Linked DNA regions of Elephas maximus indicus. The protein of the gene in region 3 purifies or fractionates together with the protein of the main gene of each other region. This does not show direct contact. Links are inferred from orthologs where the notes say so. Each region holds a gene or a part of one and is shown on either strand. Other genes may lie near its edges. The genes, in order: CSNK2A2, AP2A1, RNPS1 and HNRNPC.

Region 1 (7,322 bases), on a different chromosome or scaffold from region 3:
TCCATTAATTTGAGCATCAAGGGGGCCTGCCTCCCAAGTTTTACTCCAGAAGACTCTGCCCAGTGTTAAGACCCTACAAACCAGTGCTAAAGAGAACAGTAAGAGACAGGAAAAGATAGGGAACAGGAGCTTGAGTGAAGGGTCATTTCAACATAATGATGTTAGAAAAGTTTCTTTGTGCCTAGGCTGCCCATTTGTAAAAATAACCTATAGCTTCCATACTGGGTTCCCTAAACATATCCTGAAAATATTTAGAGCAGGGGAAAAACAATCCAGCAACTGGCCCTATGAAGTTCTTTAGAAGGCCGACAGAAGAGCAATGTAATGCTGTCCTAAATGAACACACCGGTATTTACACTTACACCTGACTGCTATTTCTTTCAAAAGGACACCATGGGAGGTTGCGTGCTTATGCTAAAAGTGCTGTCACTGCATAAAAGTTTAGACATTTTTCTAGAATTGCCTTAGAGTCAGCAGTTTACTCTCCTGAATGTATAGTAGTGGAATGTGAAAATTTCTAATTTCAATTTATGTCCTGCTTACTTCCTAGAAAGATGTGAAGCAGCTTTTATTAAAAACATTTAGGCTTATCTACATAAAGGAATAAACTATATGGCTTCCCAGATGACCCCTCTGGGGAAAATTTTATTTGTTTTAAAAAAAAAAAAAAAAAAAGGACCCGTGACTTTTTAGGTGAAGCCCATATTTAGGGAAGAGGCAAGTCCAACTACACACCTTTAACATCAACTTGTCGCCAGTGTTTCTGACAACACAAATAACTGCCTATTTCTCTCTACTGCTATTCTGCTCCTTCATCACCAGACTAGGATGGTTCCGAGTGATGGAGCCAAACGCTTTGCCGAGAGGTGATTTTCAGACACCATGAGTCTGACCCCTCCTATTCAACAGGGACTATCTACACAGCTGGGCTACCACTACCCTTAAGACAGATTTTTAATCTCACATTCTTATTCGACAAAACCTTTGCAAAATGATCATACTGGAAATTACATGTATGTAAAGTGTTTATGTTACCCTTGAGTCTTCTGAATCTTTCACTAAATGGTATGTACAGGTATTAAATGACCTGACCATAATGTGGGCCCATCACAGATCTTAAGAGTTACTTTTCAGTGCACCCTGTAAAACATTATTAAAGCTACACAACTGATCACATACCTAAAGGAAAGTTTAGACAATGCTTCACGCTCATTAAGATAATGTCTTCATTCATGAGATAACAAAATGTGTATCGTTATCAAACTTATGCCACTAAACCAGATCTTAAGACCATTTTGTTCCAATTATCATCTCAGTGATTACAAATACACTCTCCTATGCTCCAAATTTCATTTTTACTAGCTAACACACAACGATGAACCTTTTCGGCATAACTGGCTCACCATTTCCACCCCACCTGAAACTTTACCACTAAAGTAGAAGAAACACTTGACTACCCACTGAGGCGTTTCCCTTCACTTGAGCTTCAAACTCATCTTTGAAGTGGCTCCAATTTTTTCCAGTGTTCTTTCTGGAATAACTCAGAGCACCAAGGGTGACAAAAAGCTCCAGCTGCCCTTGGATTGATGGGTGCCTCATGAAAAAGGTTTTCTTTCCTCTGAACATCCATTTACTTCGTAATAAATGGAGTCCCTTTGGAATTTTTTGCTTTGGGAGCCCATAATTTAAATTTCAGATCAAGGATGGTTCCTAAACTATCATGTTTAGATTTGAGATCAGTCTGCATATTTTCTTGGAAATTCACAGGAAAATGGGATGGAAGGAATAGTGAGGGACATCGGACAAAAAATGATATGCAAAATGAGAGCCAGCACTGCTTATTCTAGGATGTGACTGCAGTGGCTAGCTATCCTTTTGACCTGTGGAAAAAAAAGTATTTTTAACGCCCCTCATAATACACTCACCTTGAGAATTTTTACAACCACTCTCTCATTGTTGGTGATGTTAATGGCCTCAAATACTTCACTATACTTTCCCCGACCAAGTTTTCGAACCAGTTGGTAATCATCTTGATTACTGTGAAAGGCAAAAGACACACATAAATGCCAGGACTTGGGTTAACCAAGCCTACGTCCACTATACACTTCATCCAGCCTCTTCCGTTAATCAAGCACTTGGAAGTGTCTATACATCACATCACGACACATCCCTAAATGAAAGCCACAACATAGACCTGGCTCCCTTCACTCTGCACAGAGCTCCTAACTAGTCCCTGATAACTTGGGGGGATGAGGGAGGAAGGCACCGCTCTGAGCCAGTCTGGCGGGAGACCAAAGCATCCATCCTGGAGGACCACAAGGTGCCCCTCTAGCCCTGGCTCCCTCGCTCCTGCTTCATTTCACACCCTCAAGGTAGACAGCGCCTACTTTGAGAATCTGGACGTCCTTAAAAATTTTTCTCTCACCCATCTATCTCCATTTCAGGAAAAAACGAAAAAAGCAGAGAATTTTAATAGCTCAGGGGGACAGCTGTTTAGTTCCAACCCCAGCAGAAACCCAAAGGTGCGAGGAGGAAGGGCTGCCCCCTCACTTCCATAGGCTCTAGCCCCTGCACCCTGTACTTCTCCCCAGGAAGAAAGCATTCCTTGGAGAAGGCAGACGGGTTCTTCGCAAAGGTGGGAAAAAAGGGAGAGTCGGAAACGGGGACAAGGACATGCGTGAGAGGAGGCACGCTGCTCCCACCCCAGACCCGAGAAGAGCTGGCCCAGGAGAGGGGCAGGCGGAGCGGCGAATCGCCGGGGGACGAGTGCGGTCCCCGCTAGAGGGAGCCGGGCGGGAGAGGGGGAGCCAGGGGGCCGGCGAGGGACGGCGGCGGCTTTACCCCCAGCTCGGGACGTGCGCCTCATAGTCCCAGTACTCGCGGCTCCTCAGGCTGTTCACCTCGGCGTAGACCCGGGCCCTGCTGCCCGCGGCCGGGCCGGGCATGGCGGGCGGGACCGGGGGGCGCCGCTGGGCGCAGAGAGCAGCGGCGGCGGCGCGGCAGGGGGCGCGGGGCGGCGGGCGGAGGCGGCGGCTGGCCGCGGGGCGCCGGAGGAGGAGGAGGAGCGCGGCGGCGGTGGCGACGGGCGGCCGCGCCAGGCCGGGCCCGCGGGGGCGGACGGGCTGGGGGCGCGGGGGGCGCCGGCCTGGCCGGCCCGGCCCAGGAGCGGCCGGCGGGGTGGCTGGGCGGGCGGCGCTCGCGCTCCGCAGCGGCCTCGGTTCGGCTGGTGGCCCCAAGGTGGCGGCAGCAGCGACGGTAGCAACAGCAGCGGCAGCCGCCGGCCGGGAAAGGGGCAGCGGCGGCGGCGAAGAAGGAGGAGAGGAGGAGGAAACCCGGAAAAGGGGCCGCGCTCGCTAGGAGCGACCGCCGCCGGGCCAGGCACCGCCCGGGCTCACAGCGCCCCCTGCAGCGCGGGGGGACCCGCCGGGCGGCGCCGGCCCCGCCCCCGGCTACCCGCCGCCCCCCTCCCGGGTCCAAATCGCCCCATGCTCAGGTGTCCTGACGCGCTTACCCCAGGACGTTCCCCACCCACGGACTGCTGCCCTGGAGCCTTCGGACCCTTTCAAAATTGTCCTGGAGACCCTTACCGCAAGCCCTCACCCTCTAGTCACCCAGAGTTTCCCCACCTCAAGGCCTCCTATACTTGACCCTATTCTTACCCTCCTGTCACCCAAACTGTTCCCATAAAGTCTCTCCCCAGTGACTCCTTCTCCCCACCCAGAACTTCCCCCCACCCCAAGGTCACTTCATCTCCCCCAGAGGACCCACTCCCCCTCTGGACCCTGCACTGTCACCCGCAGACCTAGTGTCTCTTCATCCAAAGCCTTCCTCACAAGACCTTTCTCATACACTTTTCCCCCAGTTCCCTTCCAGAACTTTCCCTGAACACCCTCTGAATGGTTACTTTGGTCACTTGGTTGAGCTGGTGCCTGCCAGGTTACTCCACTGTAAAGTTACTATTTTCCCCTATGTAATTAATAAGTGATTTGTGGGGAGATAGTTTGAGACTGTGAAGATACCTGTTTTAGTTTGGGAGGAGGGAGAGCAAGAAAAGGTGTGAGGGTCTGACCTGAAGGGACAGGCCAGGGGTTTAGGATGACTGAGGATGGATCAAACAAACTTTGGCCTATTTTATTCTGTTGCCTCCTACCTCGGAACCCTCCTTTCTCTTTGATCTTCTGGGCCTTCTGTCTTGCTATGCCATCCCATGTCTTCTATCACAGAACCTCCTCACCCAGCCAAAGCTGTTCTGACTCCAACCCCTTTTCACATTCTGTTTTCCAGGTGAGACACTGCTCGCTACTCTGTGGTATAGTTAAGAGCACAGACTGTGGAGTCAGATCAATACAAGTTTGAATCCCAGTTCTGCTACTTAAAAGCTCTGTGACCTTGGGCCAATTACTATGTTGCAGAGTTGACAGCACAAAGCCAACAAGAGCACTTACTTTACAGGGCCATGGGAAGAATTAAATTAAACCTTGTAAAACATTTAGATCAGTGTCTGGTAGATACTAAGTGCTCAGTAAGGGTGTTATTGTTGTTAGCTGCCTTCAAGTTGGCCTCCAAGTTATGGCGGCCCCACGTACAATAGAACAAAATGCTGCCCAGTCCTGCCCCATCCCCAGAATTTGTTTTGAATTAGACCATTGTGATCCATAGGGCTTTTTTGGGCTGATTTTAAGAAGTAAATCACCAGGCCTGTCTTACTAGTCCATCTTAGCCTGAAAGCTTTGTTGAAACCTGTTTGGCATCATGGCAATATGTAACCTTCCAATGACAGGCAGGTGGGGGCTGCACATGAGTGCATTAGCCAGGTATCAAACCCTGGTCTCCTGAATGACAGGCAAAAATTCTACCACTAAACCACCCCTGCTACCATTCAATTAGGATTTTTTTTTTAAAAAAAGCCCAAACCCATTGCCGTCAAGTCGATTCTGACTCATAGCCACTAATTACTCAGTATCATTATTTCCAGTCCCAGGGTCTTTCTTCTCTCAGTTTTTCCTCCCTAAGACCACCACACGCCCATCTTTTAGTTCCTTCCACCCTCCAAGATTGGCCAGGGGCCACCTCTACCCCCCTTGACCCCTGCCTTCCCTTGACTGGATCTTTTTTCCTCTTCAAGTCTCACCTTAAAGACTACTTTATCTAGAGATGATACTTCTCTATATCCACATCCTCCAGAAAACTGCATATTTAATTAATTTATTTCCTAGCTTATTGTCTGTCTCCTTCACTGTCCAAACAGCAGGGGAGCAAGGACTGCGTCTGTATGCTCACGGCTGGCATACCCAGTGTCTGCCACAGTTGAAGGTTGTCACGAATACAATGTTACCCCATAGATTACTTAGGAATTACAATAGGGAACCAGGAGGTCACTACCTTAACTGTGGACCAAACTAACATCATCAAAAATAGAACCAACTGACCCTCTGGTGTGATGTACCAGAAGGAACACGAATCACCCATGTATTACTCCTGCCAAAAATGTTGACCTAAATCTAATTACCAGAACACAATCAGACAAATCCAAACTAAGGGACATTCTGCAAAGCAACTGGCCTGGACTCTTCAAAAACATCAATGTCACAGGGGGGAAAAAAAAACCCTGGAGTAGCATTCTTGATTGAAGGAGACTGAGAGACTTAACTAGAAGTAGGTTTGATTCTGAATTACATACTGGATAAAAGTAGGGGGCGGGAGGGAGGGAGGAAGGAAGGGAGAATACAGCTAAAAAGGCACTATTGGCACTACTGGGGAAATTTGAGTACAGGATATAGTGCTGTCATTGGATGCTGTTGAGCCAATCTTGACTCATAGTGACTCCATGTGACAGAGTATGCTACATAATAATATTGTATCAAGGCTGAATTTTGTGAGTGTGACAATTGTGCATATACAGACAAATCCCTTGATCTTAGGTGTTATATGCCAAGTGTTTAGGGATGAAGTATCGTAATACCTGCAACTTACTCTCAAATGGTTCTCCAAAAAAAACATGGATCTCTGAGAGTGGAGGCATAAGCACAAGGGGGCAGGAACAGAACTGGGGAGAAATGAAAATAATTGGTGAGTGTGCAGATAAGAGTACAGGGCCTTTCAACTTGTTGATAGACTTGAAAATTTTCAAAATAAAAACTGGAAGAAAATAGAGCATTTATTAAATAAGTGTTGTCAGGTATCGTCGAGTCGATTCTGACTCATTAAAAAAAAAAAAAAAAAAACCCGTCGCCGTCGAGTTGATTCCAACTCAAGGCGACCCTATATGACAGTAGAACTGCCCCATAAGGGTTTCTTGGCTGTAAGGCAGCAGAACACCAGGTCTTTCTCCCTCGAAGCCACTGGGTGGGTTTGAACTGCTAACTTTTAGGTTAGCAGCCAATCGCTAAACCGTTGTGCCACCAGGGCTCCTTAGGAAATAAGTAGACTTTGGAATTTAATTCGCAAACATGCAAACATTCTTAAATTTCTCTTGAATAAGATGGCACAAACATTTTCATACCGGTAACGCAGTCTTAGGATTTTTTTCTGACAAGTCCCTATGAACTAGTCTAGATCAGAGGTTCTTAATCTTCAGCTCCTGAATGAGCTTCTGTGTGTGCATTCTTTCCTTAGCATCGATCAGATTCTCAAAGGAGGCCATGACCCAAAAATGGTTCCCAACCACAGGTTTAACTACTATGCTCAGTCCAGCTGGGGCCCCATCCCTCGCCTCCACCCTCGCCCACCTCTGACCCCACCCCTCCTCCCTGCACCTTCCTCTCATTCCTCACCACCTAATCCACACCCATGTCACATAACTTGCTCCCACACCTGCCAAGATACCTGAGATTTCACCCACACACCACTCTGGTGCAACACACTCCTGGATTTGGCTAACGCTCACTAACTCACCCTGAAATCAGCAGGCAGCCCTCCCACGGCCAAGTGGAATATGTTTTTATGGTTTGTTAGTAAGTAGGTTGGGTGCTCCATGGAACTGGTGGAGACACACTGCCTCTCCTTCCTGCCTGCCTGATGTGCAGCCAGTTTGGCCAGAGCTAGGATGGTCAATTGGCAGTGGTAACAAGGCAACCCTTGCCGACGGTGGGGGGTGGGGGGTAGGGGGGGAGAGCTGGCTGTCCTGCAGGGCAGGGAACTCAGGGGACCAGAACTGACTTCCCCCAAATACTCTGTGTCGGGTATGGGGGTGCACATAATTCAGGATTACACAACAGGGAATAAAAGAGGACATCTTGGGTCAAATAGCTCAACAATTTCATACTAACACCTGTTCTCCCAATTCTATCCAAACACTGAACAAATAGAAACAAAAAACCCTC
Region 2 (7,541 bases), on a different chromosome or scaffold from region 3:
TACCTCTTGAATCTGCTCTGTTCCCAGCAGCCAGCGGAATTATTTTAAAACATAAATCAGATCACATCCCTGTGTTCAAAACCTTCCTGTGGTTCCTGTTTCACTCAGAGAAAGGCCAGAGTCCTCACCCATTAAAAACCTTTTACTGTTGAGTCGATCCTGACTCATAGCAACCCTACAGGACAGAGGAGAACTGCCCCATGGGGTTTCCAAGGCTGCAATCTTTATGGGAGTAGACTGCCACATCTTTCTCCCTTGGAGCAGCTAGTGAGTTCGAACCGCCAACCTTTTGGTTAGCAGCTGAGCACTTTAACCACTGCAACACCAGGGCTCCTGACAGTTCCCACAGTGGCCTACAAAGTCCTACATGATCCGCCCTATTTCCTGCTCTGCCCTCATCTCCAGACGTCTCTGCCTTGCTCACTCAGCTCCAGCCACATTGGCCTTCTTGCTCACATTTGAACACACAGTAAGCATATGGCAACCTCAGGACCTTTGCACGCACCGTATCCCCTGCCTGGAACCCTCTTTCCCCTAAAATCCACAGACTTGCTCCTTCTCTTCACTCAAGTCTCCATTCAAATGTCACCTCCTCAGTCAGGCCTTTGCTGACCCCACTCTAGATCCTAGTAACTCTCCACCTCCTTTCCCGCCTTGCTTTTCTTCGTAGAACTAAGCATCACTGGAGCCCTGGTGGCACAGGGGTTAAGAAGTCAGCTGCTAACCAAAAGGTCGGCAGTTCAAATCCCCCAGGTGCTCTTTGGAAACCCTATGGAGCAGTTCTACTCTGTCCTATAGGGTTGCTATGAGTTGCAATCGACTCAGTGGCAACAGGTTTGGGTTCTTCTTTTTTGTTTTTTCCCAGGAGCTTCTTTTCCATCTCTCTCCTGGAACGGAAGCTCCCAGAGGCAAGGATTCTTGATCACTGTTGCAGGCCCAGTGCCTAGAGTAGTGCCTGGTACACTGTAGTGGTCAAAAAAATTTGTCAAATGAATGAATAAATCTTAATGGCTATTACTAGTGCTGTTTTGCAGACAAGAAAACTGAGCTGCAAAGAGAATAAATGACTTGCCCAGGGTCTCACCTAGGCTGGTGGTATCAGGGACAGTGCACACTTACTCCTAACAACAGACCCCCTACCTAGTCTATGGCTCCTCATGTTGTTATCATCGTTAGCTGCCATCGAGTCAATTCTGGCTCATGGCGACCCCATGTGTGTAGAGCAGAACGGCCCTCCATAGGATTTTCAAGGCCATGACCTTTCATACACAGGTCACCAGGCCTTTCTTCCAAGGCACCTCTGGGTGGGCTTGAACTGCTAGCATTTTAGTTAGTACAGGAGCTCTTTCCTTTTCCATGACAACCATATCCTCATCTCTCCACCAACTGACACTCAGCAGCTGCCACTCCAACTGTTCACTGAGTACCTACTATGTGCCAGATCCTCCTACACCTATGAATTTCTAAAATAGTCAATCACTGGGCACTGAACAGGAGCCTCTCCTCAGATCCAGCACGATAACAACAGCTAACATCCATCCAGTGCCAGCAATGTGGGAGAGGCCTCACTCAACATACACTGTCACAACAACCCCCCCAGGAAGGTACTAGCAGCATTCCCACTTGGCAGATTAGGAAACATAAGAGTGAAGCCCCTCAGTCAAGGTCACAGCGCTAGGGGGTGGTGGTGCTCAGACTCAAAGCCAGTCTGGCTGACCCCAAAGCCCGTGCAGATGTAGCCTCAGCAGCTCTTGGCAGCTTCAAACACCAACACCACCGGCTCCTGGGAGTTGGGAGCTGATTTGGCGCCAGGCCTCTCATCGTCATGACAACTCTGCCTGGTGGCATTCACTGACCCCAGATTGCTGTGGTCACTGACCCCTGACCTCTCTCTGGGCCTGAATGACCCACAGTTTTCCAGATCTCTTTCCACAAACCCACAAATTCCTCAGGCCCCTTTCTTTAGCTCTGGGCTCCCTGCCCCTACATCCCTGAAGCTCCGCCCCACTCTACAACCTCCTCTCCTACCCAGGCCCCCACTCTCTGGCTCCCAAGACCTCCACACCTGCAGCTCCTCTATCCCCCTCAGCTCTGTGCTCCTTGGGACCCTCCTTTCCACTTAGTGACCCTTCTAGCCTGCTCCCCACTGCCCCGTGCCTTCCAAGCAATCCCCCACTGGGGAGCCTTCTATCCCTTATTGGAGTCTATTTATAGTGCCCCCATCTCTCCTCCTCAGTCCCCTGGGTTTTCTACCACTCCTAGGCCCTCTCTAGGCTGCTACCAAAGGGCCTGAGTGGCCTTCTAGCCCCTTCCCCTGTATGACGCCCCTCTCCCAGGCCCTCAGGCCCGGCCACGTTAGGTTCTCAGCGTGTCGGGCTTCCAGTGTGTCTCGTCCTCCAGGTCCCCTCTGGCCTCCTCCCACTCTGTCACTCCATAGGGTGCCCCACTCCGCAACTCCTTCCCTTTCTGTCTACAACAGGGATCTCTCTAACCCCATTGCTTGTTCGACCCCTTAACCTTTCTATCATTCCCAAGGGACACGTTTATGTCCCCATTCCTGGGACCTAACTAGCTGGCTCCCTTTGGCAACCCTCCGGGACCCCTCTAGCCACTCCATGTCACCTCAAGAAGGACTCTATGACATCCCAAGCCCCTCCACTGCCCCCACCCTGAAGTTCCCCCCGGGGCCTTTCTACCCTCCTAGGCCGCTCTATGACCCCCGAGCCCCTCAATTCCACTCTCCCCGCCCCTCGCCAGTGTCCCCCGGGCGCACGCTCACAGTTCCGGATATCGGAGATGAACACCGCGAGCCCCCGCATCCCATCGCCCTTGGACACGGCCGGCATGATGGCGGTGGTGTCGGCCCCAGGCCCGGCCGGACAGGGCACAACGCAGCGGGGGCTGGCAGGCTGGCAGGCGGGGACCGGGCGGAAAGGACCCCAGACAGCGCCAAGGAGCCGAGCCGGGCCGGGCTGGCGGGCAAGCAGGCGGGCTGGCAGGCCGCGGCACCGCCCCCTGGTCCCGCCCCTCGGTTCCACCGCCCTGAGCTCTCAGACACGCATTGGCTCAGGTTACTGCCCTTCAAACTTGGGCCCACCCCCATTGCATCGCTCATTGGTAGTTAGGCAAAGGCACGCCGTTACCATTGGTCCAGGCCCCCGCTATTTCCGTTCGGAGAGAAGGCGGGGACGTTGCCCGAGAGACCGGCGGGGTTCGAATACGCACTACAGAACCGCCCCCTCCGCGCTGCCCGGTCGGATTCGGATTGGATCCGGCTCCTCTCCAAAAAGGGAGGGAAGGACGTGCAGGAAAGCTGGGGAGCGGGGCTGAGGGGGCGGAACTTGCGTTAACTGGACCCAATGGAAAGACAGACCGCCCCCGCAAGCGTAGCGGATTTGCTGAACGTGTCCTACTTTCGCCCTCCATTGGGCGGTTGTGGGAGCGGATAGAGGACGATGATTGGTAGAAAAGGAAGTAGAAGTGGGGGCCATCTCAGCGGGGCTGGGATAGGTGGAGCGACGCCTGCAATTCCCTGCTGCAGAGAAGTGGTTGGGAGGGGGAAGAGGAAGCGAGGTATTTACTGCGCAAGCGTCTCTCTGATCGCCTTCTTACCCTGAGCTCTTAAACACTCTTCCAGGAAGCCTTCCTTCCCTTTCCCCTCTTCTTTTCTACAGCGGACAAGCTGTCAGTTCTTGGGCCTGTCAAGAGACGTAGACTCTCACGGGGGAGAAACGGTAATCCAAATCTAGTCCCGTTAAGCAAGGGTTAAAATTTAAAACCAGAGAGGTTGAGTGACTTGCCCTAGGGCGCACAGCTCGGCAGTCAGAAATTTAAACTCTGTTGGCTTTTAGCTACTATTCAATATGGATTGTTTATTGTTTTTGCAACCATAAAGCCTCAGGCAACCTCCATTGTAGCAGATATCAAATCAAACTTGTGGTTATCTCCACCAAAATTGGAGCTCCTAAACGCAAAAAGGATCTGGTGTTGACGAGCTCAACACTGGCTTCCTCTCGGCGCTCCAGACAGTCTCTGGTTGACTGGCTTTGGGGAAGGCAAAGCTTCCGGATCTTCAAAGCCCCAAGCTATTGTGAAATTTAGGGAAAAGGGATCTGGAGGAATCCGTTTCTGTCACATCGAGGAAGAAAACTCCATCCCACCATCCTCTTCTGATTTCCGAAGCCAAGTAGTATTCCTGGAATGAGCTTTGGAGGAGTGTCCTGAATCCTGGGAACTTCTACTCCGAATCTTGGGGGGATGGGGAGGCAACAGCGAGAAGAGTCCCCCCTCCCCCGCCCAGGTTCAATGGATCCGTCCATTTGCGTTTCCAGGAAAGGGGCATGGGAAAGTCCATTCTGGATTCCAGGGAGGCCGGGCTCTTCTTCACTCAGCTGTTTTGGTGATTGAGAGAGTACATCCCTAACAATAGGAGGGGGCATGTCTGCCTCTAAGAAACATAAGAGTAGCTTCATCTGGAGTTGACTAAGTCCTTTTTGTGGAAAATGACATTAACTGGTCCAAAACTGAAGAAGTCCATTGAAGATATAGGGAGGAAACACTTTCTCCCTAAGGATTATAGTTGTTGTTAGTTGCCATCTGACTCATGGAGACCTCAGGCACAACAGAACCAAATGCTGCTAGGTCCTGCGCTATCCCCACGATTGGTTGTGGATCAGACCCTTGTGACCCATAGGATTTTCATTAGTCTGGAACCAAAAACCAAACTCCTTGCCTGTCGTGTAGATTCTGACTCATAGCCACCCTATAGTAGTCTGGAAGTTCTATGCATCAATATGCTCAAGTCTGCACTGACAGACGGGTATTGGCTGTGCATGAGGTTCACTGGCCGGGAATCGAATCCAGAACTCCCAAATGGAAGGTGAGAATTCTACCACTGAAGCACCATTGTCCCCCCCACCGCAAGGATAACACCAAGGAGCCCTGATGGCGCAGTCATTAAGCGTTTGCCTGCTAATTTATTGGAACCCACCAGCCGCTCTGAAGGAGAAAATGTGGCAGTCTGCTTCTGTAAAGATTACAGCCTTAGAAACCCTATGGTGCAGTTCTACTCTGGCCTTTGTGGTCGCTATGAGTCTGAAGTGACCCAAAAGCAACAGGCAAGGATCTCGCCATTAAAATAAATATATTAGTAGTAGGGTTCAAACCATTCCTCTATTTGGGGGTGTGAAAGAGAGATTTCGGGGGACCCAAGAACAAAAGAAATTTGTTCCTAAGTAAGGGGGAAATCCACATTCTTCGCTGCCTGAGTCCTTAGGTGGTGCAAAAATTAACACGCTCGGCTGCTAACAGAAAGGTTGAAGGTTGCAGTCCACCCAGAAGACCTCAGAAGAAAGGCCTGGTGATCTATTTCTGAAAAATCCGCCACAAAAAACCCTATGAAATGCAGTTCTACTCTGACACACGCGAGGTCACCAGGAGTCAGAATGTACTTCAAGGCCATTGATTGGTTCCCCACCTGAACCTTCCACCTCCCCTTCCAACCCCAGCCCTTCACTCTTCCCACCAAATTCATGTAGGGCCGGATAGTTAACTCAGGGTTCTTGGTCTGGGGGTTCTAGGTCCAGTTGTGGGTAGGTGGGGCAACTCAGCTTCCCTTTAAACACCCTTACTCCACCCCATAGGCCGATTGCCATCAAGTCGATTCCAGCTCAGCAATCCTATAAGATAGAGTAGAGGTGTCCCATAGGGTTTACAAGGCTATAATCTTCACAGAATCAGACTGCCACATCTTTGTCCCATGGAGTGGCTGTTGGGTTTGAACCACTGACCTTTCAGTTAGCAGCTGAGCACTTAGCCATTGTGCCACCAGGGCTCCTTACCTCACCCCGTAGAGCCCATGAATCATCCACAGTTTAATTTTTAAGACTGAGCCTAAAGCACAGGCATTCTGAGGTGTAAATTGGACGGGGGGAGTGGCGAGGGTAGGTTGGGGAGGCCAACCCAGCCTTCTTGTGTCAAATTCTCTGTGAAGATGGACCTGTAGCCTCCACAGGGCTGCATGGGCTGACCTGGTTGAATTAGGATGGCCTTATACAATAAAAATGCAAAATAGATAATTTTCCGTTTATTTAAAAAAAGTCATCATCAAGTCAATTTTGACTCATAGCAATCCTATGGGACAGAGTAGAACTGCCCTCAAGGCTGTAATCTTTAGGGGAGCAAATCACCAGGTCTCTCTACTGTGTAGTAACTAGGGATTTGAACCACCAACCCTTTTGTTAGCAGCTGAGTGCTTAACCACTGTGCCACCAGGGCTCCTTCCATTTATGCTAGCCATGTTAAAAATAAAAAATAAAAACAAACAGGTGTATAGTGCAGTGAATTACTTAACATGGCCCTTCTAGCCACAGCCTTTGTAACTCCCACCAAATGACTGGGTTGGACTATCCACATGAGATGCTTAATGTCCACCTAGGGGATTGGATTGCTTGCTAATCATGTAAATAAGGTGCACTGCTCCCTTGTGGGGGTGGGATCATGCAAATAAGGTGTATAGAACTCTAATGAGGGCATTGGTCAGTTTTGTCATCCTGCTAGGCTTAAAGGGATACAGAGAGAGAGAGGAGGTGTAACAGGGAACACAGAGAGAGATAGCAGAAGCAGCAAAACTAGGACAGAGAGTAAGAGCTGTAACACCAGAGACAGCGAAAAGCAGTGGCAGAGAAATAGCAGCAACAGAACCAGGAAACCAGCAGGAGATGGCGCAATGGGCTTCTTGGCCCACAGAGCAGGAAAGCTGAGCGCCTTCAGGCAGGTTTTCCAGCAAAGTAGGGAGCCTCCAGGCACTTGGTGCAACTACGTTTGAAATACTACAGGGTTAGGGCTGAGTGCCTTTGAGCTGAGGCTTACTGGCAGAGTGGGGTGCTTCTGGGCACTTATTGGCAGAGCTAAAAAAGCTTTATGACACTTGCCTGAGAAGGGCAGATGACAGGCCAAGGGGCCGAGGGCAGAGAGAGACCTCCCTGTGGCATGGTTGAGAAGAGGCTGTTCTGATCAAAGAACTGTATCCCGAGTATTCCTGAACCTGAATTGTACCTGTTACTTCCCTAATGAGCCCCATAATCGTGAGTATTGTCTGTGCATTCTGTGTGGCCATTGCAATGAATTATCAAACCCTGCAGAGAAGTAGAGAGTGCTGTGGAAGGGACAGTTGGTATCAGAATTGGTAAAAGGGTTGGAGGGTGGAGGTATGTCTGACCTCTGCCTCATAGGAATCAGCCTTGGACTGTTGTTCTTGATTCTCCTTCTTGTGAAGTTAGAGGAGGTCAGATGCCTCCACCCTGCCATTTTTACAGTTGGTGTCTGTCTGAGTTATCTAGTGTTGCCATACAGAAATACCACAAGTGCATGGCTTTAACAAAGAGAGATTTATTTCCTCACAGTAAAGTAGGCTAAAAGTCCAAATTCAAGGCGTCAGCTCCAGGGGAAGGCTCTCTCTCTGTCTCTGTCAACTCTGAAGGAAGGTCCTTGTCCTCAGTCTTCTCATGGTTGAGGAGTTTCTCAGGCACAGGGACCCCGGG
Region 3 (6,828 bases):
TGATTAGCTATATGCCCTTATTTCCTGGGGACTGCTGCCTCTAATAGTTCCAGTGAGGTTTTGGACAATTTGCTGCAAGTGGGCACAAAGATCTCAGGATAACAGTCCCAACTTCTGCCTTACCTTTCTCAACCCCCTGTAAGTAAGTCTGGACACAGCACACCACCCCGACCCTGTGCCCACATGTGTAGGAGTGTCCCTACCAGGGATGCTACAAGAACAAGTGCTCTGACCCAAGAAAGAAAGCACCTGGCTTTGGAGTCAAATAAGAGTAAAGAGAACTCCTCCTTCTGTAGATTCTTGCTGTAGAATCTTAAAAAAAAATTTTGCCTTAAAATGATAAGGTACCAGAGACACCCAGCAGGCACGTTAGTGCTGCTGGACAAGCAGTGAGTACAATTCAGTCTGGACTCAGCCTGCCTGGGTTTGATTTGAGGCTTTGCTGCGTGATTTTGGATAAGTCACTTAACATTTCTGAGCCTCAATATCTGCAATATGGTGAGTTATAGTGCCCATCTCAAAGAATTATAAAGGGCATTCATGGAATTAATCCACAACAAAACTTGGCATTAATTGTCCAGTCTCAATAAATGTTTTGTTGTTGTGTGCAGTTTAGTTGATTCTGACTGATAGAGATCCTATAGGACAGAATAAAACTACCCTATAGGGTTTCCTAGGCTGAAATCTTTACAGGAGAATATTGCCAGGCCTCTTCTCCCTTGGAGCAGCTGGTGGGTTCAAACTGCCAACCTTTTGGTTAGCAGCCAAGTGCTTAACCATTGTGCCACCAAGGCTCCTCAATACATGTTAGCTATTATTATAAGAATGGGCTGTTTCTCCACATCTGGAGGCTCTCTTCCTAGATATATTCTTGTCTCCAAAGTCACACGTAACTCCTGAACGCTCAACAGGGGTCCCTGGAAAGCCCACTTTAGGACCATACTGCAGCGCTGTCCCAAGCATAATGCAATTTTTTCTAGTGGACACATTTCAAAAAAAAAAAAAAATTAACAGATAAAATTAACTTCTGGTAATGCATCTTATTTCGAAAACTATACAGGCAGTCCCTGGGTTATAAACATCTGACTTACATATTACATTACGAACCAAGCCTTGTAAAGCCTAGTACTGTAAATTAAAAACCACGGTATATTAAAAATTCTATGTACAATGGTTCATAATAACAAACAGGCACTACTCTGCGACGTGCATCAAAACATCATTATTATTGCTATATTATATTAAAGATATTTTAGTGTATCTGGAAGTATTTCTTTCACGTTTTTTATACAAAAAGGTACACTATATACTTTGACTGACATTAGATACGAACTGTACCTGTTTTGACTTACATACAAATTGACTTAAAGACAGACTTAGGAACAGAACTTGTTTGTAATCCGGGGACTGCCTGTATTACCTTTTCAACATTAATCAATAGGAAAAAAATGTTAAAAAAATATTTTACATTCTTTCAGACTTTAAATTCGGACTAGTTACATTTTCAAGTGCCCAAGAGCCACATGGGGCCAGTGGTTATTGTATTGGACATCGCAACGCATCATGTAGGTCACACATGCAGATTCTTGCGCCCACACCCAGTTTTAACAATCTTGAGAGCACAGCCCCAGTCTTCGAAGCGCACTGTGTAAAAACAAGCACCATCGTTTATTCTTTCTTTTGCATTTTTGAGTTCTTTTTTCTCTTCTCATGGTGACCCCATGTGACAGAGTAGAACTACCCCACAGGATTTTAAAAATTTTTTCAGTGCGCTTTAGGTGAAAATTTCCAGCTCCAGTTAACCTCTCATTCAAAAATTTATACACATACTGTTTTGTGATATTGGTCGCAACCCCTCGTTTATTCTTAAGCACTCTAAAAATCAAGAACCACAGACTGAGCGAACGCTTTGCTGGGTATGGCTGAGTGCTAGAAAGCAAAGGTTGAGGTTCTCTGTTCACACGAGTTCAGGTAACAGGCCCAGGACCTCGGTCACCTCCCCCGTCCTCCGGAAAGGTGCGCGTCCAACAGCCAGGGAGAGGAGAGAACAAATTAGTAATGTCTTGAGCAGAGGCGAGGGCGTTTCAGCTCAAATCTTCAGAGCACCGTTTCCCATTTAAAGATACATTTTAGGAACAGTTCATGCTAGAATAGAGACAGAAGCAGCCTGTTCTACGTCTCTCCTCCGATGACCTTAACCTTTCCGTCGCCTCCCGCCTCCCTTCCGGGATAACCCGCCCAACTGCGTTCTGTGGCAGGAGAGCTGGGCCGTCTCAGTGCCCGCGCCTCGCACCGAGAACAGCGCAAAGAGCTCGGTTAACGCTCACAGAGGGAGGGTAGGGAAGTTGTGGATAAATAATCCTGAGGGACGGTCACTCGGCCTTTCAAGGGAGCCCACAAAGCCGCTCCGCTCCCACCAGCCCCAGCCGCCGGCCTCGCCGACCCCCGGCCGCGTTCCCGTCGAGTCTGGGCCGTAGGCGCTCCCAGGGCAGGGCCCACGAACAAAGGCCGCATTCCGGCTTCTCAGGTCCTGTTGCCCTTCCAACCCCAGCGGCCCCGACCACTTCCGGGCCTCGGCCTCGGCACCTCCCACTCCGCCCGCTCCGGCCCACTCTTTCTCCTCAAAGCCCGCGCCGCCAGGCCGCGGCCATCATCGCGGGTTGAGGAGCGGCGCAGCTCTCCACGATGTGTCCCGCTGGGCCTGGCGGGAGGCCCATGAAGCTTGGATGGGGTCGGATTCAGCCAACTTACATCTTCAGCCGACGCCACCGCCTCAAGCTCTCCTCAGCCGCCGAGGCTGGCGCCGCTCTGTCGTCAGGGTTAAGGAGCGGGAAGGCGCCGTCCTAGGGCGCACAGCGATGACGCAAGAACACTGCAGCCAATGGGCGCGGGCGGACGTCGTGTTAAAGGGCCACGGCCGTTTGTGGGAAGGGCCGCGGGGGCGCTACTTCGTTTTCCCTCCTGGATGGGTCTCCTGCGCGGTCCAGGGCTAGTTGCGCACCTTTTCTGCAGCGGGTAGGTAAGCGGCTGGCTGGGGCCTGGAAGGCTAGGCCGCGGGGCACACTTTAGAGCCGGCGTGGGAGGAGTTAACGCAGCCGAGTCCCCGCCCCCCGGTGCGCCTGCGCGGTGGGCCGGGTGCGCCGAGCGCGGGGGACCGCGGGGGTCGAAGGCGGGGGTGGCTGGGGGTCCTAGAGGGGCGCGGCCAGCCAGCCATGGGTGCATGCAGGCCGGAGGCGGCGGGAAGGGGTGGGCCTGTACGGAGCGTGGGTTCTTGCGATCCAAGAGTCGTGGTTCTGTGGGTGACCGTGTAGCTGCGGGCCGGAGCGCGAGGCAGGTGGGCGGTGCAGCCAGAAATGCGGAGGATTCTCAAGTTGATGGAAGGGGATGGGGCTTCGAGGAGGTGGCCTGAGTGGAAGGGCGAACCCAGCACGTGAAACAAGCTGCCAGGGCGCCAGGCACGTTTTCGGAAGAAGGGAGGGGAGGCAGAGACAAGGATAGAGGGAGAGTGTTGGACGCCAGCCCGGGCCGGAGGCTCTGGAGTTTGAAAACCCGGCGCCGAGAGGGCGAGGACCGCCGGAGTTGTGTACCCCTCGGTGTCTCCAGTGCCCCTTTCTGTGCCTGACAGTTGTTTCTCCATAATTATTCATGGAAGGAGCGAAGGTGGGCTCAGCCTGAGGTGACCGTTGTCTGACAGGTTTGGTGGCAACAAGGAAGAGAGCAGGAGACAAATGCAAGCCGATTATGTTGGAGGAAGGAGCCAAGATGACTTGGTAACATTAGGTGGGGGGCGGGGAAGGACAGGAAAGAGTCCAGGGTGAGGCTTGGTGACCCCGGATAGATGGACGGATGGATGGTATGGACGTGGTTTGCAAGTCATTGCTTTGTTCTGTGATTTTTCCAGCCAGTGGATGGTGATACCCCTTCCCGCAGTCTTTCTAGCCCCATCCAGGATGTTGAGTGCAGCTTTAACACATCACCCCTAGCCACAGGGCGTCTGAGGAGTTGGAAGACAAACGATAGCCAGAGTGGAGTCAGCCCCACTCGGGGTGGGATGGGTGCTAGATTTGGTGTGGGACAGTTGGAACGAGTTAATCTCTGCGTCGACGGATGTCACAGCGCATTCCCTGCCGTGGCCAACTTGAAGGTCCTTGGAACAGAGTGGGTATGCCTGGGGGATGGGGTGGGCTTGGTGGTCCCGGCAGGCAGCAGTGTGTTGGTCTGTGAGGAGGCAGTGGCAGAAAGGACTCTGTAAACCTGAAGCTACCCATTAACGCCTGTGGGAAGATTCTGGAACCCAGAGCCTGTGCTCAGGGTTGCACTGACCTGCTAGCTGGGGTCAGCGTGGCCATACGACCCCAGCATGGTGAGAGGAGGGTGGAGGACAGAGTACAGCTGGGCTGACAGTGCCCCTTCTCATCTTTAAAAAAATTATCTAAAGTCAATTACTTTGGCATGCATATAAAATTTAACACATTTTGTATTAAACTTAAAAGCATGTTTATCTAGACACATGGATTTGAGTTTGTTTCTAAATGTCACTGCTTTTTGTTATAACACATGCAATTTTGGCTGTTGAGCTTTAGAAAGTGAACATCCTGGTTTTTGCCATTTTGAGGAACAGCAAGAGTGTGTTTGGAAAAAAAGAAAATTCTAGAACCCTGTCCCCTGGGAGTCCTGGCTCTCCTCCTCCAGTCTCTGTTGCCAACCTGCTGATGCCATGGGAGCCCTTGGGGGACCTGGGCAAGGGGGGTGATCTTTGGCCCTGGTATGATGGAAGGGGGAAACCCTGGTGTCGTAGTGGTTAAGTGCTACAGCTGCTGCCCAAAGGGTTGGCAGTTCAGATCCACCAGGTGCTCCTTGGAAACTCTATGGGGCAGTTCTATCCTGTCTTATAGGGTCGCTGTAGGGTCAGAATGAGTCGGAATCCACTCGGTGGCATTGGGTGGGTTTATGATGGAAGGGTGGGGCAGGGCAGGGCTTGCACGAACAAGGCATTTGGCAGCCACCCTGGCCCTAGAGCTCTGTGCCACAAGCCACCTTCGGGCTTGGACCAGTGTCCTGGGGAAGGTCATGAAGGGGGCCTTCCCAGGGCAGGGTCACCTGTCGCAATTTGGGGCAGCCCTGAGTTTGAGTACGTGCTCATGTCAAAGAATGCCCTGCCCGCAATGCCCGCATCCTCTGTGGCCCAGTGACCTCTCATAGTTCACCCTCAGGCTGTTGGTCTGGACCTTGCTGGCCTACATACACACCTGGCCTTCCCTGTCAGTCAACATGGAGCTTCTCTCACCGGGGAGGCACCTGCTGGGCAGCTGTGGGGCCTGGGCAGCTCTGTGTGTTGAGGAAGGAAGGCAGGGCCTCTGCTCCCTGGGCCGGAGCCCCCAGCTTCAGCCCCCTCCTCCTGCCCGAAGCCAATGCCCTGTGGGTGTGTCAGGTGAGGATGGGGGCTTCCAGCTGGACCCAGCCCTCTCTCCGGGCAGATCTGTGGCTGACCTGAGGGAAGGGAAGGGGCCGCAGGAGCCCCCAGGCTCCTGGGTGACCCAGCATGGAGGGTCAGGGGCCACCTGCACCAGGGTTCTGGGAGTAGGGCTCCTGCCTGGAGGGTGAGGATGCCCCAGGGCTGCTGGCAGGCCTCATTATGGGGGACAGGCTGAGCAGCTGAAAGCCAACTTCAGTGTGGGATGAACACCTCAGATTCCCTCTAGGGACCCTTTCAGGGCACCCCCAGGAGCTGTAGTCCTTGCACGGGGGGGGGGGGGTGGAGCCCAGGCTGCATGCAAAGGGACCTCCCCAGGGAGTAGCTGTCTGCAGGGAGGAAAGCACCCTGGCTTTCACCCTCACAGAGCCATGGGGTCCAAATTGTGCTGGTCCCCAAGGTAGACTGAATAGCTGGGGCAGCAATGCCCTTAGGTGGAGCCCCCACCAACCTGCGGGCTCTAGAGCTGAGACCTTAGGGACCTTGGGTCTCTGGCCCTGGCAATGTCAGGTTTGGCTGCTACTGTGCCTTTGGTCTAACCTTGCCTGGAGCTGTGCCTCAGAGCGGATGGGGGGGAACCCCGTTATGGATTGAATTACGTCCCCCCCAAATTGTATCACCTTGGGTAGGCTATGATTCCCAGTATTCTGTGGTTGTCCTACATTTTGTGATTGTAATTTTATGTTAGAGAAGATTAGGGTGGGATTGTAACACCCTTCCAGGTCACATTCCTGATCCAGTGTAAAGGGAGTTTCCCTGGGGTGTGGCCTACACCACCTTTTCTCTCTCCAGAGCTGAAAGCGAAGCAAGCAGAGAGTTGGGGACCTCATAACACCAAAAAAGCAGTGCCATGAGCAGAGAGCATCCTTTGAACCCAAGATTCCTGCACTTAGATGCTTCCAGACCCCAGTAAGACTGAGCACAGGAAGAAGGACCTTCCTCCACAGCTGACAGAGAGAGCCTTCCCTTGGAGGTGACGCCCCGAATTCGGACTTCTAGCCTCCTATACTGTGAGAAAATAAATTTCTCTTTGTTGAAGCCATTCACTTGTGGTATTTCTGTTATAGCAGCACTAGATGACTAAGACACCTCTCTTGGTCGACAATATCACCTCACCTCTGTGTTCAAGGTCCTGAGCAAGCCAAGTGGGGGAGGGGTGGAAAAGGAGGCTGTGGGCTGGCTGCTGCCTCTACCCAGACCCCAGATGCCACCCTTGGATCTGCTTGCTGGGACTCTTGGCTCCCCTGAATCCTGGATTAAGGATTGGGTTTGGTATTCGCCCCGCAGGAAACCAGTGTGTTTGTTTTGCTTTTCTGAGTCTCTGCATCCAGCACAGGCACTTGGTGGGGGAAGTG
Region 4 (7,083 bases), on a different chromosome or scaffold from region 3:
ATATAAATTTAGGATTGGAATGTAGAGCTATTACAGGATTCTGGTGTGGGAGTCACATAATAAAAATGATCCAGATGATCACCATGGCAGCAGTTCCATGGCAGCAGTTTGCAGAATCAGTATGGAAGGCAGACTAAATGTGGGACCCAAAGGTAAGGGTCTTGAAAGTGGTGTGTAATACCTTCAACATGTTTTCATGTAGAATATGGGTGCCTGTAGAAGATAGCTTGCAAACAGTCAGATTATTGTTAGCTGCCAACAAGATAGTCTGCAATTCACAGTGACCCCATGTATGACAGAACAAAATGCTGCCTGGTCCTGTGCCATCCCCACGACTGACTGCAGATGGAACTGTTGTGATCCATAGGGTTTCCATTGGCTGACTTTTCAGGGGTAGATCTCCAGGCCTTTCCTCCTAGTCTGTCCTAGTCTGTCAGCTCTGCTGAAACCTGTTCAGCATCATAGCAACACACAAGCCTCCACGGACAGATAGGTGGTGGTTGCACATGGTATGCATTGGCTGGGAGTTGAACCTAGGTTTCCTGCATGAAAGGGGAGAATTCTACCACTGAATCACCAATGCCCTCAAACAGTCAGAAAGGCCTCCAAACTACAATAAAGAAATATAAAGAGTGTCGGGTAAAATAAGACAGCTCTGTGAAATTTTAATTACGTTCTTTTTCTGAGTTCATCGGAGACTACCTCCTCACTCTTCAGTGGAAGATGCTTATGACATTGTTGGACAATGGAAGATATAGAAGAACAGAGGCAATGATGATTGTCCTGGAATGCGATAGGTGACTAGGTAGGCTCAGGGTGTGTAGGATGATGGATATTGAGGACAATATCCAGCTAACGACTCAGGTAAAAAGTAAATTAGGCATTTCATAGCCGTTGATGCTTTTCCTTTCTTCTTCTTGACTAATGGCTTGGAACTGGTAGTGGGGAGAGGGAATATGTATTATTCTGGTAATACATCTAAGCCACTTGAAGCTTTCTTTGAACAAAATTATTTCTTGAAGTAGAAACAAAAGTTCAGTTTTGTTTTGACTTCTCTTTAGACCAAGATAAGGACTTACTGCTTCTCTGTTGCCTTACCTCTTTTCTCTCCTTCCACTGCTGAAGTGTGGAACTATTCTGGAGTATAGAATAGAAAAGTATACACAGCTACCCAACAGGAGCATTTAACTTTAGAAGCTTTTAACTGTGAGGGTGTTTAGAGTCAGCACAAGGGGTCAAGGCAATTCCCTGCTCTCTACCTTACTTGCCTAGGTTTAAGAGCACCAAAAACCAAAGTCATGAATATTTGTCATCATATTTGGCAGTTAACATTCTGCCTTGTACTGTGCTATTTTTGCACTTGTTTTCTCATTCCTAGTAAATTCTAAGTTACTCGATGGAAGGACTGGCTATTAATTCTTCTTGTATCTGCCATTTCCACTCTACCTAGCATGGGGTAAACTCCTTGAAAACATGCATGCTGTCTCCTAAGCACCTCTTTTGCACCATATACAGTGCTGGTTAATAAGTAGGTCATGACAAAGATCATGCAATAAAACTGATATCTGGTAAAAAATAAAAATAGGTAGTTTTTATTAACATAAACTTTTTTTTTGAGAAAAACGAGTAATAAAACACGTTAGTGCTTTTTTGTTTGTTTGTTTACTTAAGTCAAATTACATGATTTACGTGTCATATCCTGGTGGTGTAACAGTTAAATGCTATGCCTGCTAACCAAAGGGTTAGTAGTTCGAATCCGCCAGATGCTCCTTGGAAACTCTATGGGGGCAGTTCTACTCTGTCCTATGAGTCAGTTGCTATGGGTCGGAATCGACTCTATGGCAACGGGTTGGGTTTGGTTTGGTTTGGTTTACAGGGCTCAAAGCCTCTGGGCCCCTCTGAGTGAGTGCTAGATAAGATATGTAAGAGAGAGGACAGTCTACCTGCTTGTCCTGGGAAAATAGCAATTTCCCCCTCCTTAATAAAAAAAAAATAAAAAATAATAATTTTTTTTTAATAAAAGGTAATTAAATTAATACATATTTAAACACTTTCTGTTTAAGGCATTGTGACAAGTAGTAAGCAAGGTGGACTACAGAGAGGAGTAAGAATTAAACCCTGCCATTAAAAAAGGTTACCACCCAACAAGAAGAACAGACAAGTGTAAAATTAACTACAGTACCTCAGAGTTTTAGATAAATTTCAATGTGACAATTGAACTGAGGCTTTAAGCACTTGTAGGATTTTTCCCTTGATTTTTTGTTCAAACTAGACAATTTGGAAAATATAGAAAAGCACAAGTAAAAAAAAAAATCACATGTAATTATCCCACCAGGAGAGAACCACTATTAACGTTTTAGTGTATTTTTTCTTTCATGGCTTTTATTTTTGATTTTCTAACTAGCTTAAAGTAATACGTGCATATGGTAAAACATTCAAATTGTATACAAAGGGAGATCAATGAAAAAGGTAAACAAGTTTCTTTCCCCAAACGTAACAGCTAACTTTCCTGTAAATTTCTCTGAATTCAGAATTCAAAACTAATGTATGAAACAGCATCTACACAGATATAAAAAAAAAAATTTTTTTTTATGTATCCCTTTAAAATGTATACAAATAGAATCACTCATCTAGACAGTTTTCTGTATCTTGCTTTTTCCAATAAATAACAGAAATATGATCCTTCCCTAACAGCACATACAAATCTCCCTGTTTTAGTAGTCCTACTCCATTGTGTGCCTGGCTGCTATAATTTAGTCAGGCGGCAGGCAATGGGGGGGGGGGGGTGGGCGTAAAATAGGATGAGGGTTATTAAGAGACCAGTTACTCAAACAGCCAGACCCAAAAAAAAAAAAACCAAACCCACTGCCATCGAGTCGATTCGGATTCGGACTCATGGCGACCCTATAGAACAGAGTAGAACTGCCCTATAGGGTTTCCAAGGAGCGCCTGGCGGATTTGAACTGTCAACTTCTTGGTTAGCAGCCGTAGCACTTAACCACTACACCACCAGGGTTTCCCAAAGAGACAGAGGAGTAGGCTAATTTGGTTTACACGCAGGCTATTATTAGTGAGATAAGGCTTGGGGACAGAGATGGGTGCTCTAGTATCCCAGGCCAGCATTTTACACTTCACTTGCTTGATGTATTGGAGAGAAATTAAGAAGTCAGCTGGCTTGGGAGGGTGTTTGGTGCGAAAGCCTAAGTGCTCCAACCATAAGGTTGGCGGTTGGAACCCACCTAGAGATGCCACAGAAGAAAGGCCTGGCGATCTGTTTCCAAAAGCTCAGTCTTGAAAACCCTATGGAAGGCAACTGTAACACATGGCGTCGCCATGAGTCAGGACTTGATGGCAACTGGTACTGGTATGCGTCGTCCGAACAAGGGCTTGATGGGCTGAGACGTGGAGATGTCCTTGAGGCAGCTGAAATTCCAATCTGGTACTGAGATTGCGGTTGGGAGAAACCTGCAGGCGAGCAGGACTGATTAGTTTTCTACACACTTTACCACAGCCTAGTCATCACGGCTCCTTTTCACTCTAGAAAACGCCCTTTAGCCACACACGCGAGGGAAGCTTCACTTGGTGTTTTTCTTTTTCCTAGGCCCGGGGCTACGGTAGATTTGCCGTGCAAGGCGGAGCCACCGAGGAAAGCTTGCCGTTCGCGCCAGCTACCTGACTACGCCCCTCACCCCTACTCCGCCCCCGCGCCCGGGAACTCGGAGATCTGGGCGGGCCTTTTACTGGGCGCTCTAGGAGACTGCGATAGGATACTGAGACCGTCAATCAAACTTGCCGGATACCCGGATGTGAAGCGGTGCGCGATACAAAGGCGAGTTTCCACCCGGCGGTACAGTGGCCAATAAGCATGCCTCAAGTGATAAATGACAGGAAAAGTAACCAGTTACAAAGTAGTTTCGCTCACGCATGTGGAAATTCTCTTGCTCGGTCTAACCCACTGCAAGTTGTGATTGGATAGAATTGTGAAGAGCAGTAGAAATGTCTTATTAGGAGAGGGAGCGAGACAGGGAACAGCCAATAAGAAGGTTCCTAGAAGTGAGGCGGGGGCTAGGTCTTCGCCTCCGCGGCAGAGGAGACTCGGGGGCCATTTTGTGAAGAGGCGAAGACAGAGCGGTTGCGGCCGCGTTGCCGACCTCGAGCAGCAGTCGGCTTCTTCACGTAGAATCTGGGAGTAGGAGATTGATAATCGAATCTCTTCTCCCAACCCCCTCCTGGTAAGTGGAGGCGGCGGCCGCAGTGGTGACACTGGGTTCCTCGAGGAGCGCGAGGGGGTGTGGGAAAAGAGACGAGGGAACCCTTCCTTCGGTAACCAGGCCCCCATTTATTCCATGTGTCCTGGGGGATTAGGTTTTATGCGGGAGGGAGTTTTGCAGGTCTCAGCCGCTGCGTAGATTTCACCTACAGTCCTCTAGGCCTCGACCGGCAGAGAAAATGTCATTTTTCTTTTTTGCTTTCTATGTTAACGGTTGCTTTCTTTTGATTTTCTGTGACTCTGAGGACTCCCAAGAGAGACTATGAAAGTGAAGATCGAGATGGTCATTAGTATAGTTGAAGTTTGATGTAGTGCGGATGCCTTCTGTTATCTCCATCTCTTAAATTAGAAAATTGGGTGTGTGTGGTGTGGGGGAGGGTTACCAATTAGGTGTTGTACCGTGATCGTCTCAAATTCTGGAGTGTGTTGCGGGGCATAAGATAAGAATAATGAATATAGCTGTAGATTTAATTTTTTTGCTGATTATCTTTTAATTTACTACTCCCTGTGAACACATGATGGACCTTGAAGTAGTTACTTTCGATTCTATTTACAAAAGAAAATCGAATTAACAATAACAGTAATAATTACAGCTGATTTACTACTTTTTATCTGCAGGTTACAATTGACTTGAAATACATAAGTTAGTGGAACTTTGCTTGAGGTAGGTATTACTGTTTTTCTCAGAGAAACAGGCATAAGAGCGTTGGCAGGGTCGTTAAATCAGTAGTGAAACTAGTACTTGTAAGGAATTTGATTACTAGGTCAGTCGTTTTACGTAGTTACTGGCATGCTGGTTACTAAACAGTACTATATTTGAATCTTTATAAGAACCACATTACAAAGTCTATTGGTAGGGAGTTGTAAATTCCAAACTGCACTTGAGAAAAATATTTAATTACGAGAATTGGATTTGTAATTAATGTAACTTCCTAAGATGACAAACTTAAAATTCGACTTCCAGGATATTTTGGTATTCATTTTTCTATCCATCTAAACTTTTGTGGCAAAAATGCACCATTAATACTTTTTATTAAGCAAGTATTGTAGTGCCTGCGATTTGCTAGGTGCTGAAACAGTATTTGAAAAATTTACTAAGTTTATAGAAGTGGCAGATTTTTAAGTATCCCATTCACTTACCCAGAAAATCGTTTATCTTTGTGTAAGATTGAGTTGATTTAGTCAAAATGTTTAACTCACAGAAAAACTAATGTTAAGTACACTTTTAACCAATATCGAAGGGTAAGAAATTCATCTCTCAGGAAACCTATTTGTTGGAAAGTAAAAATAGTCTTATTCCAGATAGATGTGCATTTGCAGATTCCTCACCATGTAAATACTGAAAATTCTATAATAGGGTTACATGGGATCAAAAGCATTTTGTAAAAATGCCTAAGAATTTACATTATACATGGGCTTAGACTAAAGTTTATCACTTTGCTGAACTGTCAGAAATAAGATAAGGCCAGTGATTGATTAATTTAGGAACTCTGATAAAAGTACTGTTGGCAAATGAAATCTCAGGAATTTTTAACGTTTTAGAAAGGTTATTGTTAAGAGTTGAAATTAATTGAAGGACACTTGTCTTGACTTGAGGTGTCAGAAGTAAGGGTTTCTTAGCATCTTCATGTACCAAGCTAACAAAAATTCCTTTGAGTTCATATCCTTTAGAAAGTATTTGGCCACAGAATTAAAATCTGAAACAAAATATAGATGTGTTCTCAACTAGATAGACATTAGTAACATTTTCATGTTGGGCTAGGTAGAGGAAGAGGGATGACTAAATTGTGGGTCTTTCTGGTAGTTTTGTGCTCCCTATGCCACTCTCCCAGTACCTGCTGCTATTCCTTGTATAGAAAGTGTAAACATAGCTTATAATTGTAATTAGATCTCTAGAGGGCTTGATGTAGCATTCAACCTCGTTTTGCCTAGAACATCAAGACTTTTCACAGTAGTTTTCAAATATGAGCAGGTGAGCTGGTTAAAGGAGTTTGTTGGGCCCCACCACCCGAGTTAAGTCATTCTAAGGCGGGGCCTGAGAATTTGCATTTCTAACAAGCGACAGGTGATAATGATGCTCATGGGATTGGTTGACACACTTCATTCTGAGAATTCCAGTAGAAGAAGGAATCCAAACCTCGCTGAAGTTTGACAAAGTATAATCTAGGTATGCTCTTAATTGCAAAGCATCAGGATTAGGTGCTAATGTTTTTTTTTTTTTTTTTAAGTGATAGTTTATCAATTTAACATACCATCATGGGAGATACTTTAACTTCATACTGAAAGATGTAAATGCTTTCTTTTCTTATTGCTGTTTTTTAAGCTTCTGTCTCTTGGCACATTTGCAGAGGATTTGTTTGTGAATGAGCCGTAGTCACTTAACATAACCTGAAGATTTTGAGTACTAAGTGATGCCGAATGTTTCTCCATAACTGTACTTTCCAAACACTGACTTTCCCAAATAACATTCAGATGTACATTTCCTACAGTTTGTACAGTTTTACATCACATTTCATACTTAAACTGCTCTCCCTCCCCTTTTTAAATTTACAGTTAAAATTTTAGAGTTACAGTACCCATTGCATTTTAATTAGTCATTCATACATAATCAACTCAAGGAACACTTAAAAAAGCTCAGTTTTAAGTTTTTTAGTTTCTTCAAGTTTGTGTAGGAGAATAAGACTTAATGGTTTAATATTGAGTGCAGCCAATCATTCTTATTTGAAAAGTGACCTAATTTCAAATCTTGTTTAAGCTGTTGTAATAGTTGCCTGTATATGTTTATTTTAGTATGGTATTGTATGTCATTTTCT

The links.
Region 1: the proteins of RNPS1 (region 3) and CSNK2A2 purify together in Homo sapiens (co-immunoprecipitation; 3 studies listed by BioGRID and IntAct, with this or other methods). This does not show direct contact. The link is inferred for Elephas maximus indicus from reciprocal best matches to the Homo sapiens genes RNPS1 and CSNK2A2.
Region 2: the proteins of RNPS1 (region 3) and AP2A1 purify together in Homo sapiens (co-immunoprecipitation; 3 studies listed by BioGRID and IntAct, with this or other methods). This does not show direct contact. The link is inferred for Elephas maximus indicus from reciprocal best matches to the Homo sapiens genes RNPS1 and AP2A1.
Region 4: the proteins of RNPS1 (region 3) and HNRNPC purify together in Homo sapiens (co-immunoprecipitation; 3 studies listed by BioGRID and IntAct, with this or other methods). This does not show direct contact. The link is inferred for Elephas maximus indicus from reciprocal best matches to the Homo sapiens genes RNPS1 and HNRNPC.

What each region holds. Positions count from the first base shown.
Region 1 is NC_064839.1:25,024,300-25,031,621, forward strand, and holds the start of CSNK2A2 (casein kinase II subunit alpha'), read right to left. Parts: upstream 3,012-7,322; 5' UTR 2,946-3,011; coding exon 2,842-2,945; intron 2,038-2,841; coding exon 1,926-2,037; intron 1-1,925.
Region 2 is NC_064829.1:100,197,088-100,204,628, reverse strand, and holds the start of AP2A1 (AP-2 complex subunit alpha-1), read right to left. Parts: upstream 3,006-7,541; 5' UTR 2,847-3,005; coding exon 2,780-2,846; intron 1-2,779.
Region 3 is NC_064830.1:59,328,263-59,335,090, forward strand, and holds the start of RNPS1 (RNA-binding protein with serine-rich domain 1), read right to left. Parts: upstream 3,003-6,828; 5' UTR 2,754-3,002; coding exon of another isoform or gene 2,752-2,753; intron 1-2,751. UniProt on the Homo sapiens protein: Part of pre- and post-splicing multiprotein mRNP complexes. Auxiliary component of the splicing-dependent multiprotein exon junction complex (EJC) deposited at splice junction on mRNAs.
Region 4 is NC_064828.1:31,625,242-31,632,324, reverse strand, and holds the start of HNRNPC (heterogeneous nuclear ribonucleoproteins C1/C2), read left to right. Parts: upstream 1-4,083; 5' UTR 4,084-4,232; intron 4,233-4,888; 5' UTR 4,889-4,934; intron 4,935-7,083. UniProt on the Homo sapiens protein: Binds pre-mRNA and nucleates the assembly of 40S hnRNP particles. Interacts with poly-U tracts in the 3'-UTR or 5'-UTR of mRNA and modulates the stability and the level of translation of bound mRNA molecules. Single HNRNPC tetramers bind 230-240 nucleotides.